Linked DNA regions of Saccharomyces cerevisiae S288C. Changing the gene in region 1 together with any one later gene gives a genetic interaction. Each region holds a gene or a part of one and is shown on either strand. Other genes may lie near its edges.

Region 1 (2,912 bases):
GAAGTGATATTAGAGTTTAACGCCATAAATAGTTCTTTATCTTTGACGTCGAATCCCAGCAATTTTATCATGAAATAAATGTAGATCGAGTTGACTTCCACTGGCAAAAAATATTCTAAAAAAGTTTTCAAATCGTTGTCCTTCAAAAACAGTCTTGCATTCATAACATCATCTTTAGTGATTGCAGGAAAGATGAATTTGCCCGTCACCTTATCCTTCCCGAGGATACAAGGGTACGTTAATCTCGTTTTCAGCTTCTTCGTAGCATTATTATCTGACTCTTCTTCTTGAGGTCTTTTCAACATTGTCATGGTCAGCTCTCCAACATGAAAGTATCGCCCTTGACTAACCACCAAAATAAAACTAACTATCCGTTGCATTAGCAATATGTTCATTTAGATTTTTTTTTCTCACAAAAACAACAAAAAAGAAGAGAAGTGTTCGTATCACTACCAACGAGGGTTATCACAACATAGCAATAGTGAGAGTCAGAAGTACTTTTAGCTACCATTACCGTACTCACCATACCCTCCGTACTCGAAGGAGCTCAACCTCTTTGCTGGCGGTCTTACTGAGTCATCATTTGTTGCGGCCAGCGGTCCCACGCCAATCCTGGACAGGGCGACTTCAGCGCTGGTGTTCTCTAAGTTTATATCGTTGACAATGGTGCCTGTCTGCTTGGCCAACTGAGTGGCCTTCACCATCAGTTCCACCTCCTCTCTGTTCTGTGTGTCCACTTGATTTTGTAGATGTGATATGTACTCTACCGCCTGTGTGAGAATTTGGCCCTTGTTGGGCTTTCCGTCCTTGGTCCCTGTACCTTTGGCCTTGCTGGACAACCCAAGCGCACCGGGAGTGGATTCACTTAACGTGTCATTGCTACCAGAATTGCCGTAATAATCTCTAAAGAAGTCTTTGGGAATGATACTCAATAGTTCTTGAATACGGTCGTTGATCTTATCTCTGCGCTTGCGGTCATTCTTGAAATTAGCACCGCAGGACCCAGGATCAGTGCCAGCTGGAATGCTGCTCATGTTTGGTGTTGTGCTTTCTTTTGGTTCACTATCTAGTGTTTTTTGTCTGTGTTGTGGTTGAAGTTAATTCCATTCTTTTTACTCAAAATTTTCGGTGGCGCCTTTTTCCGTTTCCAGTAATGAGTGGTTATTGTAGATATGATGTAAGATTACATGATAATATATATGCTAAATAGTCTAAGCTTTGTCGTCACTATTATCGTGGCCTTTGAAGGCAATGATGGTGCACTCCTCCTCGTAGCCTGGTATTTGTATGTAGTTCACACCGTGCGATTCCAGCTTGTTCAAACTTGTATTGTTTTTAACAAATGTATCGGGCTCCATAACCCCCACGAAGACAGTACCAATGGCACCTTGGGTGGCCAGGATTCTATCGCAGCAAGGCTCATTGCCACTTAGCCTGAAGGAACAGGGTTCCATGGTTGTATAGAGCACTGTTCCCATAGGGACTATAGTGGGACAGTTCGGGTGTAACTGCGAGTACTTTATCAAAGCACACTGTTCTGCATGAGTGTTTCCTGGTAGCTCTCTTGAATATCCTGTGGCAAGTACTTGAGTTCCATGAACAAGAACGGCACCAACACTAAAAGCAGTCTTTGTCGGGCCACACTTACCAGCTTCCTTAACGGCCATTTCCATATATCGGCGATGTGGCTCTAAGGCCCATTCAGGGTATTTTGTTCTATAACTCCAGAGAGGTTTTTGCGTATCCGAATTTCTTTCCAATGACTCGTACCGGAAGGCATGCAGCCAGAGGTCGAGATCATTAGTACCGGGATCTGTGTACATTTCAGCCTCGCATTCTTCGCACTGACGGCCAAGCAAGTATTCACCCTCGCTATGAGGATGAATCCAGCTCTCTGCAGGATTAGTCTTGCCAATAGCGTCTAGTTTCAGAACGATGTCATCATAGTTTTGAAGTCCACCGCGGCCCAAATCTGGACCCCAGATATCTGGGTTCGAGTATATAGGGTCATTTGCTATGGGAAATCCCAAGTACTGCAAATGGACTCTTATTTGGTGAGTTCTACCTGTCAATGGTTTACACTTTACAATACTCGTCTGTCCATCATAGCTAACCCTTTGGAAAACGGTCTTGGCATGTTTAGCGTTTTCATCGCTCATCTCGCAAACAGCGTTTAGTGCAACTTTAGGGTTAACAGATCTGACAGGCTTATCTACCTCTACTATACCTATAGGGAACTCGCCCTTCACGCGGGCTACGTATTCTTTGGTGACTTCCCTCGCTTTCATTTGGTCTCCCATTCTATCTGCACCTAATGGAGTCTTGGCTAAAAACATTAGTCCACTAGTTGGCTTGTCTAGTCTATTACATGGATGTACTGAATAACCTAGCTGTCTTTCTAGCATTTTTGTAATGGTATTGAATCTGTATCTGCCCGTTGGGTGCACTGGAATACTGCTGGGTTTATCAATGACAAGGATATCTTCGTCTTCAAACACAATATCTATTGGTTTAGATGTGACTGGCGGTTCATGTCGATGTACTTTATGTGTGATCAGATCACCGTCACGAATGATGGTATCAAGGTTTGCAGGTTCATCGTTTAAGTATACTTTTCCCTCTGCAATGGTTTTGGAATAATAGCTGGGCTCTCGATCCCTGAATTCGCTCACGAATACATCCACCAACTTACGATCTCTCCACCTCTCCTTACAGAAAGTTTTATAAGTGAAAAAATAAGGCTCAATCTTCCTTAAGGGTCCATCAATTGTCACTTCATAATCAGGGTCTGTCTTTTTAGTTTTGTGCCCATCGGTTTGAATAACTCTCAGTCTGAATCCACTCGCATCTTTGACTTTGGAACTGTTTTCGTTCCTATTATTATTCCTGTTCGCGAATTTTCTTAACTTCAC
Region 2 (4,961 bases), on another chromosome or scaffold:
GTATCATATCAAGGTCTTCTTGATTTGGTGCAACAGATATGCTTTGGCACAGAGCGTTGAAACAATCTTTAGCAATCTTCGCTTTTGAGGGTAAAGATAGAAGAGATAGTAACACTTCAACAATGGAAATTCTCGGAATGGAAGGATCCTCAAAAGCTTCAGCGTGTACAGAAATAATTTCCATGGCCAGTAACAGATGTTCTTCTTCTTCATCTTCTTCAACAAACTCAGCCTTAACAACAGGCTTGTCCGCATTCTTTAATGCAATCGCCTTACCCTTTTCTAAAACATTAATCAACAATGGTAAAATATATGTCAAACTGATGGAATCTATTGCTGCTTGGTTGGAGACGAACTTGATCCTAAAAAGAACTCTTGTAAGTAATTCAACCAGTGGTTCTTGTAAATAATCTTGCGAGATGCCATTAGCATTGTGCACACGCAAAGTCGCCAAACCTAAGAAAAGTCTGATATTACCTAATCTCTCGGAGACATTTTGAGAAAGCTGCAAGAACACATTATTTACATCCTCTGTTAGCTTTGAAATATTTGGTTCCGAGCATAGGTACAAAAGCTTTGTGACTGCCAAGGGGAACCAAGTAGCGATGCCATTTTGGACTAAGCAAGCAGCTTTGGAAAGTTCAGATACCAATCTAATACCACGCTTTAAACGAGTGGAAATTTCCGAAACGTGTGATCTAACTGCAGATTCTTTCGCTAACTGTTCATTAACGAGCTCTTGTTCCTCTTTTGAAAGTTTTTTCACATTCTTTTTGGCTTGCTCCTTCCTTATTTTTTGTTCCCACATTAGAGTTTCGTACTCTTTAGAATTTTTATTGGAAAGTTTCTTATTCATGCTTTCTTCCAGGACGTCAACCACCAGAACACCTTCCTCTCCTGCAAAAATTTCGAAGTCCTCTTCAGATAAACGTGAGAAATCATCCGCGGTTAAATCTGCTTCGATAGTCTTACAAAGGATCGGTGTGAACTCATTAGGCTGAATAAATGCTGCATAGGCAGCTGCTTGCAAACCGCATGCACCATAAATTGTATCTATCCATTCACAACTACCTGTGATTTCAAGAATCTTCTCCATGATAACGCTAGCATGTTCTTTGACAACTTCAGCTGGATCAAGCCTTGCACGTAAAACTAAACCAGCCCAGCCATTCTTAATGTTGAAAATATTCCATTGCGCTATGACCAGAGCATTGATTAATACCTTTATCGAGGCTTCCTTGTCAGGTAACTCAGACGTAATGGCCAGTAGTACAGAAGTGACATATTTAAAGGATGTATTTTGTTGAGGTATTAATTCTTGGACACGCATTCTCCTTTCAATTGCATCAATCACGCTAAACCCAATAAATTCGGGTTTCTTGTAGAACAATTCTTGTAGTAAATTAACAGCATGAATACGGTTTTCGATGGATAGCTCTGTTGATAATGCAGCAGTTAAGATAGCATCACCTATCGAAGAATTTTCAGGAAGGGTTTCTATGAGCTGCATAACACGATCATTTAGCTCAGTATTGTCCAATGCCAAAATTTTGTTTGTAAATTCAATTGATGCTAGAATACATGCATGCCCGTGAGTCTGATAATGTATGATGGAGTCTTTCACAAATTCCAAACAACCGTCTATAAAGTTTAAAATCACCTCTTCAGAGGCAGCATTGGAATTGTTCAAAAATGCGGCAAACCAGCATTTTTTCAAAGCAGGTTTTTTATCTGCAAAACCAGCTGATATAATTTTATCCAAGTCTTCAATAGGTTTGCCCAGACTAAAATAATGAACAAAAAAAGCGTTAAGCATTAGAGTCAAGGCTGCTTCATTACCTTCTTTACCAATATATGGGGACAGCCCTTTGCAGATTTTTTCTGAAACCTCATAGTGCGTTAAGGGTATTTCTATGAGAATTTTGGAAATAAGTGATTTGTAATCTGCATTTAAGTTCGATTTGATGTTCTTAAATATTTCGTCAATAAGCTTGGTCAAATCTTCCAAGGTAGTGTCAGTATTGGAAATTTTTCTCAATAAGATTATCATAGACTGAAGCGAGACGGATCTAACTACCTCTTTTGAGCTTTTAAATGACGAGAAGTATTGATTAATCAGTTTCGAGGAAGCAAAGGCATTTAAGAGATTTACTTTTTCAGGAGAAACACCAGCATATAACTCAGATAAAATCGAAAAACCAACCTCAGGAGATCTTAAAACTGCTTTTTCAATATTAGGGATGAAAAACTTAATGAATAACTCTTGTGAAACAAATTCTTTTAAAAATGGCTTCAAACCAATCTCTAAGCAAAAGGAAGATGGTGGGTTTTTGCCTAAAAACACTTCTTTGCCCAAATATTCGCAATATTTCTCTGCAGAATTTTCCTTTAAAACGGAGTGCAGAGCTGGTTGCCTCGATAATAACTGAAGTGCAGCCTGAGTTAGTGCACCCATTATCATAACTACTCCAACACTGGTTATCTTCAGCTTAGAGTAGCTCTCCAGTACAGTTTTAATTGAAATCTTCATGAAGGAAATACTGTCGTCATTATCCTTCAAGCACTTAAGGAATGCTTTGACCGTTGTTTGGAAAATGCAATAACGAATTCTCTTTCTATGCTGGTTCTGCTTATCTTGGGATTTCTTGCCTTCTTCTTGATTGTCAAGAATAGTTTCCACACCGAACGTTGCATAAGAATGGGCGACCAACAATTTTGGAATGTACTCTTCAAATAAATTAGAATTATGCGACACAAAAATCAAGAAAGAATTAATCCAATCTAACAAATTAAGGTAATCAGCGACTGCTTTGGTAGCCGGATTACTGATGACCACGTCGGAAATGAATCGGATAAAGTTTTCTAGGAGACATGGCTCTAGATTTAAGATGTCAAGCAATATTGAAGTTACCAAACTTTTAGACCTATTGTCTTCGTAAATCGTGAAGGTATTCAATAAAACGAAAGCAATTTCAGATAATTGAGGTTTTTCCAATGTTTCTTGACGAACTAATTGTGATATATCTTGCAAAAAGGGAACTCTTTTAGACACGTGTGATTCGCGGGTGCCTTTCTCTAAAACAGGGGATATATCTTCCCAGTTTAAGATAGCTGTCATCACTGTAGGAGTTATTGGTGTCAGTCAGAGCTTTGTTTGTCTTAATGATCTACTTCAGGTTTAATAAGTACAACTCAAAGATCTTTTCGAAGGTTTAAATTATTCAAATTTTTCATTCGTACGTAACGACTTTATTGAGAAGCTCAATGACGGTAGTTGAAATTTCATAGCATTATATCAACAAATAAATCTGTATTACAATTACCAGCTCGCAGGTAATGCGGAAGCTTAACAAGAGGGTGTTTAGACCAACCTGTGTACAACCTTACTCTTAGTTACTATTTATAAATAGATACACAATTACATAGACACAGAGATGCTTTGATGAGAGTGATAACCAACGACAAAAGAGAGCTTACCATTTCTGAAAAGGTAACCAAACATCGTTGACAATGCCTTCGCTGTTTACCACGAAATAATATGGAAATTGTCCCATTGTGATACAAGCGTGTTGAGGAAGGACGGCAATTTTGCTGCCTAATTTTAATGGAGTAGTTTCGTTCCAGTTTCTTATTGGCCTCAGTATCCCGTGTTCTTGAGAGACCCTTGCTACATACCATTCCCTACTGAAACTCTCGGATTTTAACACATGTTCCAAATCAGCACATATTCCAAACCCTTTTATTGAGGATGCTTCTCGCGTTAGACACATTACACCTGTATTACTCAACAATTCACCTCTAGAAGGGTAAGATGATAGTACTGTTCCTAATACAAAACCAGACAATTCGTGATCTTGGACACAGCCTGTTGCCACCTGTTGCAGGTCATACATGCAGTAATTACCGCAGTGGATTTCAAGCGTACTAACTAATTGAGTAGTAATGAATTTAACAAGGGTACTTTTATTATCGAGTTTCAAAGAATTGGAAGTCGGAGTAGCGCCCACAGAAAGTGTTAATTTAGAAGGATCAAACTGAGGATCCACAGAGCACAAAACTTTAGCGGCAGAATTGACTGCTTTCACTTCTTCCATCAAAAGATTCTGAGTGTCGTTGATCGAGGTTGAAGAGTAGCTGTGTCCGGCATGAGCATAAAACCCATATGGCTCAATTACTTCTTTAATTTCTGAGGAAGTCAGTTTTTTTAAAAGACTCAAAAATTCTGGAGAGTCGAAAGCAAGACCTGCCCTCTTAGTCCCCATATCAACCTTGATAAAAACCGACCATTTCTTGCCGGAAGCAGGCCTACCGAAATTCTTTAAATTCTCCAAGTGTTCAATGTTATCAACAAAAACCTGAAAATTATTCACCCTTCTTGACAAATTGCTCAAAAGAGGAATAAACTCTGGAACGCAACAGGGTAAACTATATGTTATATCGTCAATATAATCCGAACATTGTCTATCTTGATAATTAAGAAGTTCTTCTGCTTCTTTCAAAGTTGATACTAATATGGCTCTTGTAGTGCGTTTAGCCAATGGAAGTCCGTGGCCCAATTGTTTCAAAGTTCCCTTTGCTGTCTTATGCGTTTTTACGTGTGCACGAAATTTGATTGGTACGCCACATTCCTGGCTGAGCTTTTCAACGTTGTTCAACATTGTCGTACAATTCTTATCAAATTTTTCTTCATTAATAACGAAATTGGGTGTGGGTAAATCTCTGACTGAGCACCCTTTATATTGAGATAGAACATCGCTCATTTCAAACTCTTCTTAGGAGCAATATTATACTTCCTTATCAAGAAATGAAGTATTTATGTGCACTTAATTCCCTTTCGTGTTGAATAAAATTGACAGTAAATAGTGGAAAGAAATCTTTTCACTCAAAAGCTTTATATATGTACACATATTGTTGTTCCATGGTTTTGAGAGATATTTTAACTCCGTCTTATCACTCTCCGA
Region 3 (4,262 bases), on another chromosome or scaffold:
TCTGTGGAATCAACAATTCAAACATCTGATATTGGCAAATCTTTCCTTTTGAGAGATAACACTGAAATTAATGAAAAGATATGGGGCACAAGCGGTATACCTTCCAGCATCAACGGTTACATGAGCACTCCCCAACCTTCTACGCCAACTTTAGAATGGGGAAATACTTCTGCATCCCAACATGGTTCTTCGTTCTTTTTACCCTCTGCAGCATCGACAGCCATTGCACCTACGAATAGCAACACCAGTGCCAATGCAAACGCCAGCTCCAACAATGGAGCCAGCAATAATGGTGCTAACCAGGCACTCTCTGCCAGCTCGCAACAACCAATGATGCAAATTGGTAACACGATTAACACTTCCCTAACCTCTTCAAATTCATTGCCTCCATACGGTTTAATGTCTTCTCAATCGCAGCACATTTCAAATATGGTAAACACCTCTGATATGAACATTACACCTCAAAAACAGAACAGATTTATGCAACAACCCCAACCAGAGCATATGTATCCTGTGAATCAAAGTAACACTCCTCAAAAAGTACCGCCCGCAAGATTAAGTTCAAGTAGAAATTCACACAAGAATAACTCTACTACCTCATTATCCTCAAATATTACTGGATCTGCCTCGATTTCTCAGGCTGATTTGTCACTACTAGCCAGAATTCCACCTCCTGCCAACCCTGCTGATCAAAATCCACCTTGTAATACCCTTTATGTAGGGAATTTACCCTCCGACGCTACTGAGCAAGAACTAAGACAGCTATTTTCTGGTCAAGAAGGCTTCAGAAGACTATCATTCAGGAATAAGAATACCACATCTAATGGTCATAGTCACGGACCGATGTGCTTCGTTGAATTCGATGATGTCAGTTTTGCAACCAGAGCGTTAGCTGAATTGTATGGTAGACAGTTACCTCGCTCCACTGTGAGCAGTAAGGGAGGTATCAGATTAAGCTTTTCAAAAAACCCACTGGGTGTTAGGGGCCCAAACAGCAGAAGAGGAGGCAGTGGTAACCCAAATCCTAATGTAAATATGCTTTCCAGTTACAATTCTAATGTTGGTCATATAAAAAACTAAAAAAATGGTTCCGCAAAAACCTGATTTCCTTGCATGTATCACATTATATGCATTGCTTTTCATCTTTCCCCCACTATAATAAGAATAATATTTTCTGTCGCATTTTTTCTTTTTCTTTTATTATTTGTTATAATAATATTTTCTAAACCGACTAATAATAAGAATAACATCGATAATACTTTATCTCTTCAATTACGTTAAATTATCTTTTTACTATTACATTACAACGTGCATATAACAGAAATTTTTTCTTTTTCTGTCTAACATTTGAATTGTACTATGAATTAAACCCGCCATCTTTTTTCTTAACTACCATTTTGCGAACTCCTATACCGCTTCTGCAACAACAAGAACTTTTATTTTCAATTTTAATGTGCCATTCATTCCATTTTGCTTGCGCTAATGTGAATAAGATTGAGAGGGAAAAGTCTCACTATCGAATATCGCTCTTTAGTGTGATTATTGTCATCAAAGCACCAAGTGCTTAGGTGAGGTCATATCCGACAAATGTTTTGAAGAGAGAATATCTTTTTTTTATGCTGCCAACTTTTATTCTTTCCTTGTTTAAAAAACTCTGCCTTTGGATATTCTCCCACTATATATATGTATTAGCCTTACTTTTATTCCAGAACTCATTTTTATAGAAGTATATATCGGTATCGACTTCAATGTAATATTTTCAACCCTATGCTACAAGAGCAGATTAAAAAAATATGGGCTACCAGTGGCAAGAACATATTTGATATTTCGAAGTTCTACTTTGTTTATGACCGAACTGATCAATTTTATGAATGTCTTTCAATGGAATCTCAATACGGGTAATAACGTCATATTTCTTATTTTTCTTGGACAATTTGTCCAAAATAAAATTTTCACGACTTTTCTCCTTCAAGTACCGCGACTTCTGCGATAGTTGTCCGTTAGACATAATAATCATTAACGCATCCATAAGGTGCTTGCGGTCTGTATTTGACTTTCTTCACATTCTTACGCCTAGACTGAATGGGAAAACAACCAAGAAACCAAAAAGGAACCTGAGAACACAAAGAGTATTTGACGAAAAGTTACACTCACATAATGCATCACCAAACTAAGTTAGATGTATTCATAATCAGAGCTTATAATTTACTGTCTAACGAGTCTGTCATTAGTGGTGCTTCCTTGCAGAGTGTTACAAACTCGCCACAGACGACAACGAACACGCCCTCAGGTATGGTTAACGGGGCGGTTGGAACAGGGATAGCTAATCCAACAGGGTTGATGGGGTCTGATAGCACACCTAACATCGATGAGATTATAACTAGCACTGGTAGTAATGCTCTGACGAAAACCAACTCAGATAGCGCTAATGGTACGCCGAATGGTAATTCAAGTTCTACCTCAGCCATTAGCAATGCAAGCAATCCTGCCACTACTGGTAATAATGCGAGCTCTAGTGCCACCTCAAATGGAATATATACGCAAGCGCAATATTCTCAACTTTTCGCCAAAATATCAAAACTATATAACGCTACACTATCATCTGGGTCAATTGACGATAGATCAACATCACCAAAATCGGCAATCGAACTATATCAAAGATTTCAACAGATGATTAAGGAACTAGAGCTGAGTTTTGACGCAAGTCCTTACGCAAAATACTTCCGCCGGTTGGATGGAAGGCTTTGGCAAATAAAGACAGACTCAGAATTAGAAAACGATGAATTGTGGCGATTAGTCTCAATGAGCATATTTACAGTATTCGATCCTCAGACCGGCCAAATTCTAACTCAAGGACGCAGGAAGGGAAACTCCTTAAATACATCAACTAAAGGCTCCCCATCAGATTTACAGGGAATAAACAACGGGAACAATAATGGGAACAATGGTAATATTGGAAATGGGAGTAATATTAAGAACTATGGAAATAAAAACATGCCAAACAACCGAACGAAAAAAAGAGGCACCAGGGTGGCTAAAAATGCTAAAAATGGGAAAAACAATAAAAATAGTAATAAAGAGAGAAACGGCATTACAGATACGAGTGCATTCAGTAATACAACAATAAGCAACCCAGGTACCAATATGCTTTTTGATCCATCATTGTCTCAACAGTTACAAAAACGACTGCAAACGCTATCACAAGATGTCAATTCTCGTTCGTTGACAGGATATTATACACAGCCAACCAGTCCTGGCTCAGGAGGATTTGAATTTGGTTTGAGTCATGCAGATCTGAACCCCAATGCTTCCAGTAATACCATGGGCTATAATACAATGTCCAATAATGGATCCCATTCGTGGAAACGAAGGTCACTGGGATCGTTAGATGTTAATACGCTGGATGACGAAGCGGTGGAAGAACTTTTGCAACTGACAAATACGAGTAAGAGGCAGAGGCCGATGACAACTGCAGCAGAGGGTGCGTTAATAAATGATGGTCCGGACACTAATTTAAACGCGAATAACACCCAAATGAAAGTTGATTTAAATCCTTCAAACAGCATGGGACCTATAGATACAGAAGCCGTGATACGCCCATTGAAAGAAGCTTATGACGCAATCATTTCTGAAAAAGGCCAAAGAATTGTGCAATTAGAAAGAGAATTGGAATTACAGCGCCAAGAGACGCAGTGGTTAAGGAAAATGTTAATTGAAGACATGGGTTGTGTTAGAAGTATGTTAAGGGATTTACAAAGATGACACGATAATAATGTTTAACATATATTGCTTTCTCTTTTAATTTTCTGGTGTAGATTGGCGGTATAATTAACTATTTAACAGTGACGTTTACTATCTTACTGTTTCTTGTACTCTTTTATAATGAACAGACGTTATTATATAACTACGAACTAATGATAATTCTTTTTACGTTATTCCTGATGTAAAGGATACAAAATGGGTTTCTTTATTTTGCAGCAGAACCGTAAAATTTACGCTACTTTTACCGTGGGTCCTCTTATTTGATTGTTTCCGTCGCTACGAGCGAACAAGGGGTGGAGACAATAGGGATGGTGAATATATACACATACGTTCATATATAAGAAAAAAACTCAAGAAGAATATCAAACGACCAGGATCCTTGCTTATATTATTGTCTGTTGCTGGGCCAACACATATTTTCATTTCAACACACCAATCTCAGGTATTAAAGAGAAATCATTGTAAGGTAAAAATGTCTACGTTGAAAGTTGTTTCATCAA
Region 4 (4,774 bases), on another chromosome or scaffold:
TTTAATGGACTCTTCGCCAGACAAGCCACCTTTAACCATGTATTTTTGGCGGGCACTTGGGACTTGGGTCAATTCCTCTGCTTTGCTTTTCAAATCTGCTGAAGTAGCATCAGTGGAAAGTGTTATTGGGTAAACTTTACCAGAATGTCTAATATTGAACTCAAACGTTTCTCCGCTCATATTTTAACACAAGGATAGGTAGGGCTAATTTCCTTATTTTTATATCCTCTTAGAGAACGAAATCTCGTATTTCAATTGCACCAATTACTTGCAGTGGCAAAATTCGAAAAGCACTTCACCCTTCTTGTAGATTTTATGTTTTATATTAGCCACTACTTTTTTACGTAAAAAGTGATACATATACCAATGACCCAGAATGCCCAGTTAGGTCAATTAGATTCCAATACAAGTAGTCAAAAAAAAAAAGTATCATGGGGCTATGAATGCATACTTAATTTAGGCTTCTATGGAAAATATATTCTGAGGTGCTTCCTAAATAATCAATGCTTTTTAACCACACCTGCAGCATCAGCAGACTGCAAGATGTAATCTCTATAGTCGTAAATTGTACCTTCGAACCTCTTGACAGTACCTTGCTCTGAAACCCAAATCTCTTTACAAACAGAGTCAATAACAGAGATATCATGGGAAACCATTAAGACACCACCGTTGAAATTTTTCAAGGCTTCTACCAAAGCGTCTAGACCAGTGGTATCCAAATGGTTAGAAGGTTCATCCAGAACCAAAATGTGTGGATTATTTAAACACAATGCAGCGAATGCTACACGAGATTTTTGACCACCGGATAATAATTGCATCTTTTGTAGACCCAGGGTACCAGTGATACCAAATGAACCTAGATGACGTCTATACTCTTCATCAGTTTTACCTGGGAAGGATTTGGACATCCAGTCCACTGCAGACGTGGTCAAATCCATAGAATCCACATGATGTTGAGTGAAGTAGCCTATACGTAATCTTGGGTTTCTTGATACAAAGCCTTTTAGTGGTCTTAACTGCTCCATCATAATCTTCAACAGTGTAGTCTTACCACAACCATTGGCACCTACAAGGGCAATTCTGGAATCCATTTGAACGTCCAGGTTAACATCTTTCAATAATAGGTTGTTTTCATCATAACCAAAGGAAACGTCTTGCAATTGGATAATTGGTGGAGACAATTTATCACATTCAGGGAATTTGAAATCAATGGTTTTGTCTTGTTCAGGTGGCTCCAAAACGGGCAATTTTTCCAATTTCTTAATTCTTGATTGAGCTTCCTGTGATTTGGCAGCATTGTATCTGTATTTGTCAATAAACTCTTGCAAGTGCTTTCTGTAAACCATTTGGTTATCATACTCACGTTGAGCATTCTTTCTACGTTCCTCCTTTGTGGTGTAAAAGGTATCGAAATCTTGGCCTCTGTAATAGTCTAGTCTTTCGTTGTGTTGATAAATGATATCTGTAGCCACTTCATTCAAGAATGCACGGTCGTGAGAAACTGTCAAAACTGTATTTGGATATGTTTTCAAATACTCTGCTAAATAAGCGATGGATGGCACATCCAACATATTGGAAGGTTCATCTAACAACAAAAGATCTGGTTGACAGAATAAGGCTCTTGCCAAGGACAATCTCATTCTCCAACCACCGGAAAAGGAATTAGTGGGTTGTTGCTGTGCCTCCGTACTGAACCCCAAACCATATAAGATTGATGCTGCCCTAGCTTCAGCCTTGTCAGATTCCATATCGACTAATTTGTCAGAAATCTGTATCAAATGGTTATCCAAGTCTTCTCTTTCATTGTCCAATTTTTTAACTTCTAAACTGTCTTCTTCGAATTCCTGTCTTAATACATCCATTTCCTTTAATCTTTCATTGATCTTGGCTTCTTCACTTAATAGTTGTTTTCTCCAAACGTCTGCATCCAGCACACTTTGTAAAGCCTTTGTATCATCACCTCTTAACTCTTGTTCCACGTGTAAAATCGAAACATGTTTGGGGACGTTCAGCTCTCTTCTAGATAGAGCCCTTAACAAAGTAGATTTACCAATACCATTTTGGCCCACAAGACCATATCTGTGACCAAAACTTAGAGTCAATTGGGCGTTGGACAAAATTCTTTGACCGTCACCAACGTACAAGTCGAAAGTGTCAATATGGATATCCTTGGATTTACCAGCGGATGAACCGAATTCTAAAGGGTTGATTTGCAAAAAGAAAGAATCGTAATCCTCCTCCTTTTGGTCATTGATCAATTTAGAAGCCTCGTATTTAACAAATTTGTTATTTCTCTTGGCGACTTTCTTTGCGATCTTTTGTTCAGCCTTGGCCAGTTTTTTCAAATCAACTCTTGTTTCCATCTTTCTACCAGTATGTTCGATGTCACCGTTCACACCCAGCATGCTTAATGAGACGTTGATATCGGATTTACTGTTATGACTCTTTAAGACATTAATATCAAGTAATCTCTTGGACGTATCACCGGTCAATTCCAATTTGGCTTCGTTCTCCTTTAGTTGAGTAGTCAATTGCTTCAAAATACTTTCCGATAGTTCTTTAACTTTAGCCTTTGACGCACCCGCATCAATCAATAAATCGGACACAAATTGCACTTCAGTGGACAAATCTACCTGCTTACTTTGAACAGCATCAAAAGTTATTCCGGACAAGTGGTTAAAGTAGCCCACTGCGTAATCCGTGACGATAGGGTCAATACTAGAAGCAGCTTTTCTCACTTGCGAACCGATGCTTGCCATTTCAAAAAAGTTATTTACCTTTTGTGCTATGAATCGAAGTTAACGTTTTAGCGCTTCAAAACGACTAGTCTTAGCTAGCTTACTGCAGAATATATATTTCTCTTTTCAAATGTCTTTCATTTTCTACTAGATCTAATAATACGAAAAATTTTCAGGAACAAAAAAATAAAAATCAGAAAAAAAAGAAACTGCGCAAGCCCGGAATCGAACCGGGGGCCCAACGATGGCAACGTTGGATTTTACCACTAAACCACTTGCGCTTGTTTTCTTGTGAAAACTATCCTTGGATAAATCAATAATAATGTTTGTAACTTCTCTAACCAATTTGAGATGTAACGAATGATAATTAGTGTGTTGGAATAAAAATCCACTATCGTCTATCAACTAATAGTTATATTATCAATATATTATCATATACGGTGTAAAGATGATGACATAAGTTATGAGAAGCTGTCATCGAAGTTAGAGGAAGCTGAAGTGCAAGGATTGATAATGCAATAGGATAATGAAACATATAAAACGGAATGAGGAATAATCGTAATATTAGTATGTAGAAATATAGATTCCATTTCGAGGATTCCTATATCATCGAGGAGAACTTCTAGTATATCCTGTATACATAATATTATGGCCTTTATCAACAATGGAATCCCAACAATTATCTCAAAATTCGCCAAATAGTCAAGTATTATAGCCTTGATCAATAATGGGATCCAATAATTATTAAACTATTCACCCAATCTTCACAGATCTTCTAGTCAACGAGGGAAAATCCATATTTCTAAATAGTATTATTTATCCTTGCACTTCAACTTCCATTGAAGCTGATGATTGTTTCTTAATTTTCATGTTATCTTCTGGCAGCGTATATGAGATTATACTAATTATATGAAAATATATTAATAGTATAGATACTAATCGGTAAACGATAATCGACTCTCATCACAACAAAATGCTTTTGCAAATATTGAGGAAATTATATATGTTTATTAAACATATATATCCTGTGTATTTATAGAGGCTTTCCTCCAACATTTTATTATTTTTGGCAAATAATACAGTAGCTTAGGATATCTTACGCACGCAACTGCAGGAAAAGAACGTCAAGACATTCTGTGAGTTGTTTTCCCGCAAAATGTTCCACCGTCGTTACTTTTTCAATTTCATAAACATATATCAGAATGGAAAAAGCCTTCATAAATGAGCTTCGAATTTTTGCGCAATCTCGAATATAAGAAGCATGTATATTTGTCATCTTGCTTTCATTGGAAGCAAAAGGGCAAAGTTTCAATCTTGTGCATGTAACCTCAGTAGTAATCTATAAGTGTGAGATATATCTGTCAATTTTTGCAGACCATTAACATTTTCCAAATACATCTTGAACTCTTCATCTTCGAGGGGAATTGTCTCCGTCTGGAATTTCTGCCTAATCAATTTGATAGTCTCTTTATGATGCATTAGAATGTTTCCTCTTAATTGGGCGACAATGTAATTTAAAGAGTCTTCGGAGTAAGACAATAAATCCATGGATTCAAGGGTTACCTGCTTGGATTCCTGTAAACTTTTCCGGAGCATTGAATTTTGGCGCTTCAACACTCCTAGCATAACGTCATCTTTCGCATTTTCATCCAGATTGTTGCTTAGTTGCTCTTTCTCAGTAATAGGAGCTTTCCCTCTTTGTTCTAGAAATCTATTAAATAATGCAATATTTTCCGTGGTATCGTGAGGTTCTTCAGATGTCTCATACTTGTTTAAGCTTCCGGATAATATGTCTATGTTCCTTAGTATTTTCGCCTTTTCTGCTTGATTTTCCCTCAACTGTTTCACTAGCTTGTTAACTAACAAGTACATATGATTCAAGTTTTCTGCTTGAGGAGACATATATACTTGCTGCTGCTGCTGCTGCTGCTGTTGTTGTTGTTGCATTGACAAAACGTTGATTTGGTCACTCATATCTAAACCTTGGCTTGAACTTCTTGTAGAATCAATATGTATTACTTCCCATATATGTCGTA

Evidence for each region.
Region 2: mutations in RTG1 (region 1) and GCN1 together harm fitness more than expected from each alone (negative genetic interaction), as found in Saccharomyces cerevisiae (4 studies listed by BioGRID).
Region 3: mutations in RTG1 (region 1) and GCR2 together harm fitness more than expected from each alone (negative genetic interaction), as found in Saccharomyces cerevisiae (4 studies listed by BioGRID).
Region 4: mutations in RTG1 (region 1) and GCN20 together harm fitness more than expected from each alone (negative genetic interaction), as found in Saccharomyces cerevisiae (3 studies listed by BioGRID).

Annotation. Positions count from the first base shown.
Region 1 is NC_001147.6:201,485-204,396, forward strand, and holds RTG1 (Rtg1p), read right to left. Parts: upstream 1,035-2,912; coding exon 501-1,034; downstream 1-500. Other genes in the region: histone deacetylase HST1, read right to left, coding at 1-395; bifunctional DRAP deaminase/tRNA pseudouridine synthase RIB2, read right to left, coding at 1,212-2,912. UniProt on the Saccharomyces cerevisiae protein: Required for a novel path of interorganelle communication between mitochondria, peroxisomes and the nucleus, thereby maintaining a functional metabolic interaction between the tricarboxylic acid and glyoxylate cycles.
Region 2 is NC_001139.9:129,682-134,642, reverse strand, and holds the start of GCN1 (Gcn1p), read right to left. Parts: upstream 3,119-4,961; coding exon 1-3,118. Other genes in the region: D-serine ammonia-lyase DSD1, read right to left, coding at 3,474-4,760. UniProt on the Saccharomyces cerevisiae protein: Ribosome collision sensor that activates a translation quality control pathway when a ribosome has stalled during translation. Directly binds to the ribosome and acts as a sentinel for colliding ribosomes.
Region 3 is NC_001146.8:264,426-268,687, reverse strand, and holds GCR2 (Gcr2p), read left to right. Parts: upstream 1-2,157; coding exon 2,158-3,762; downstream 3,763-4,262. Other genes in the region: mRNA-binding protein WHI3, read left to right, coding at 1-1,080; NNR1 (NADHX epimerase), read left to right, coding at 4,235-4,262. UniProt on the Saccharomyces cerevisiae protein: Transcriptional activator required for the expression of glycolytic genes. Enhances the CT box-dependent transcriptional activation of a RAP1-GCR1 complex. Required for GCR1 phosphorylation.
Region 4 is NC_001138.5:160,473-165,246, reverse strand, and holds GCN20 (putative AAA family ATPase GCN20), read right to left. Parts: upstream 2,760-4,774; coding exon 501-2,759; downstream 1-500. Other genes in the region: ubiquitin-specific protease UBP6, read right to left, coding at 1-180; FAR7 (Far7p), read right to left, coding at 4,047-4,712. UniProt on the Saccharomyces cerevisiae protein: Acts as a positive activator of the GCN2 protein kinase activity in response to in response to low amino acid, carbon, or purine availability.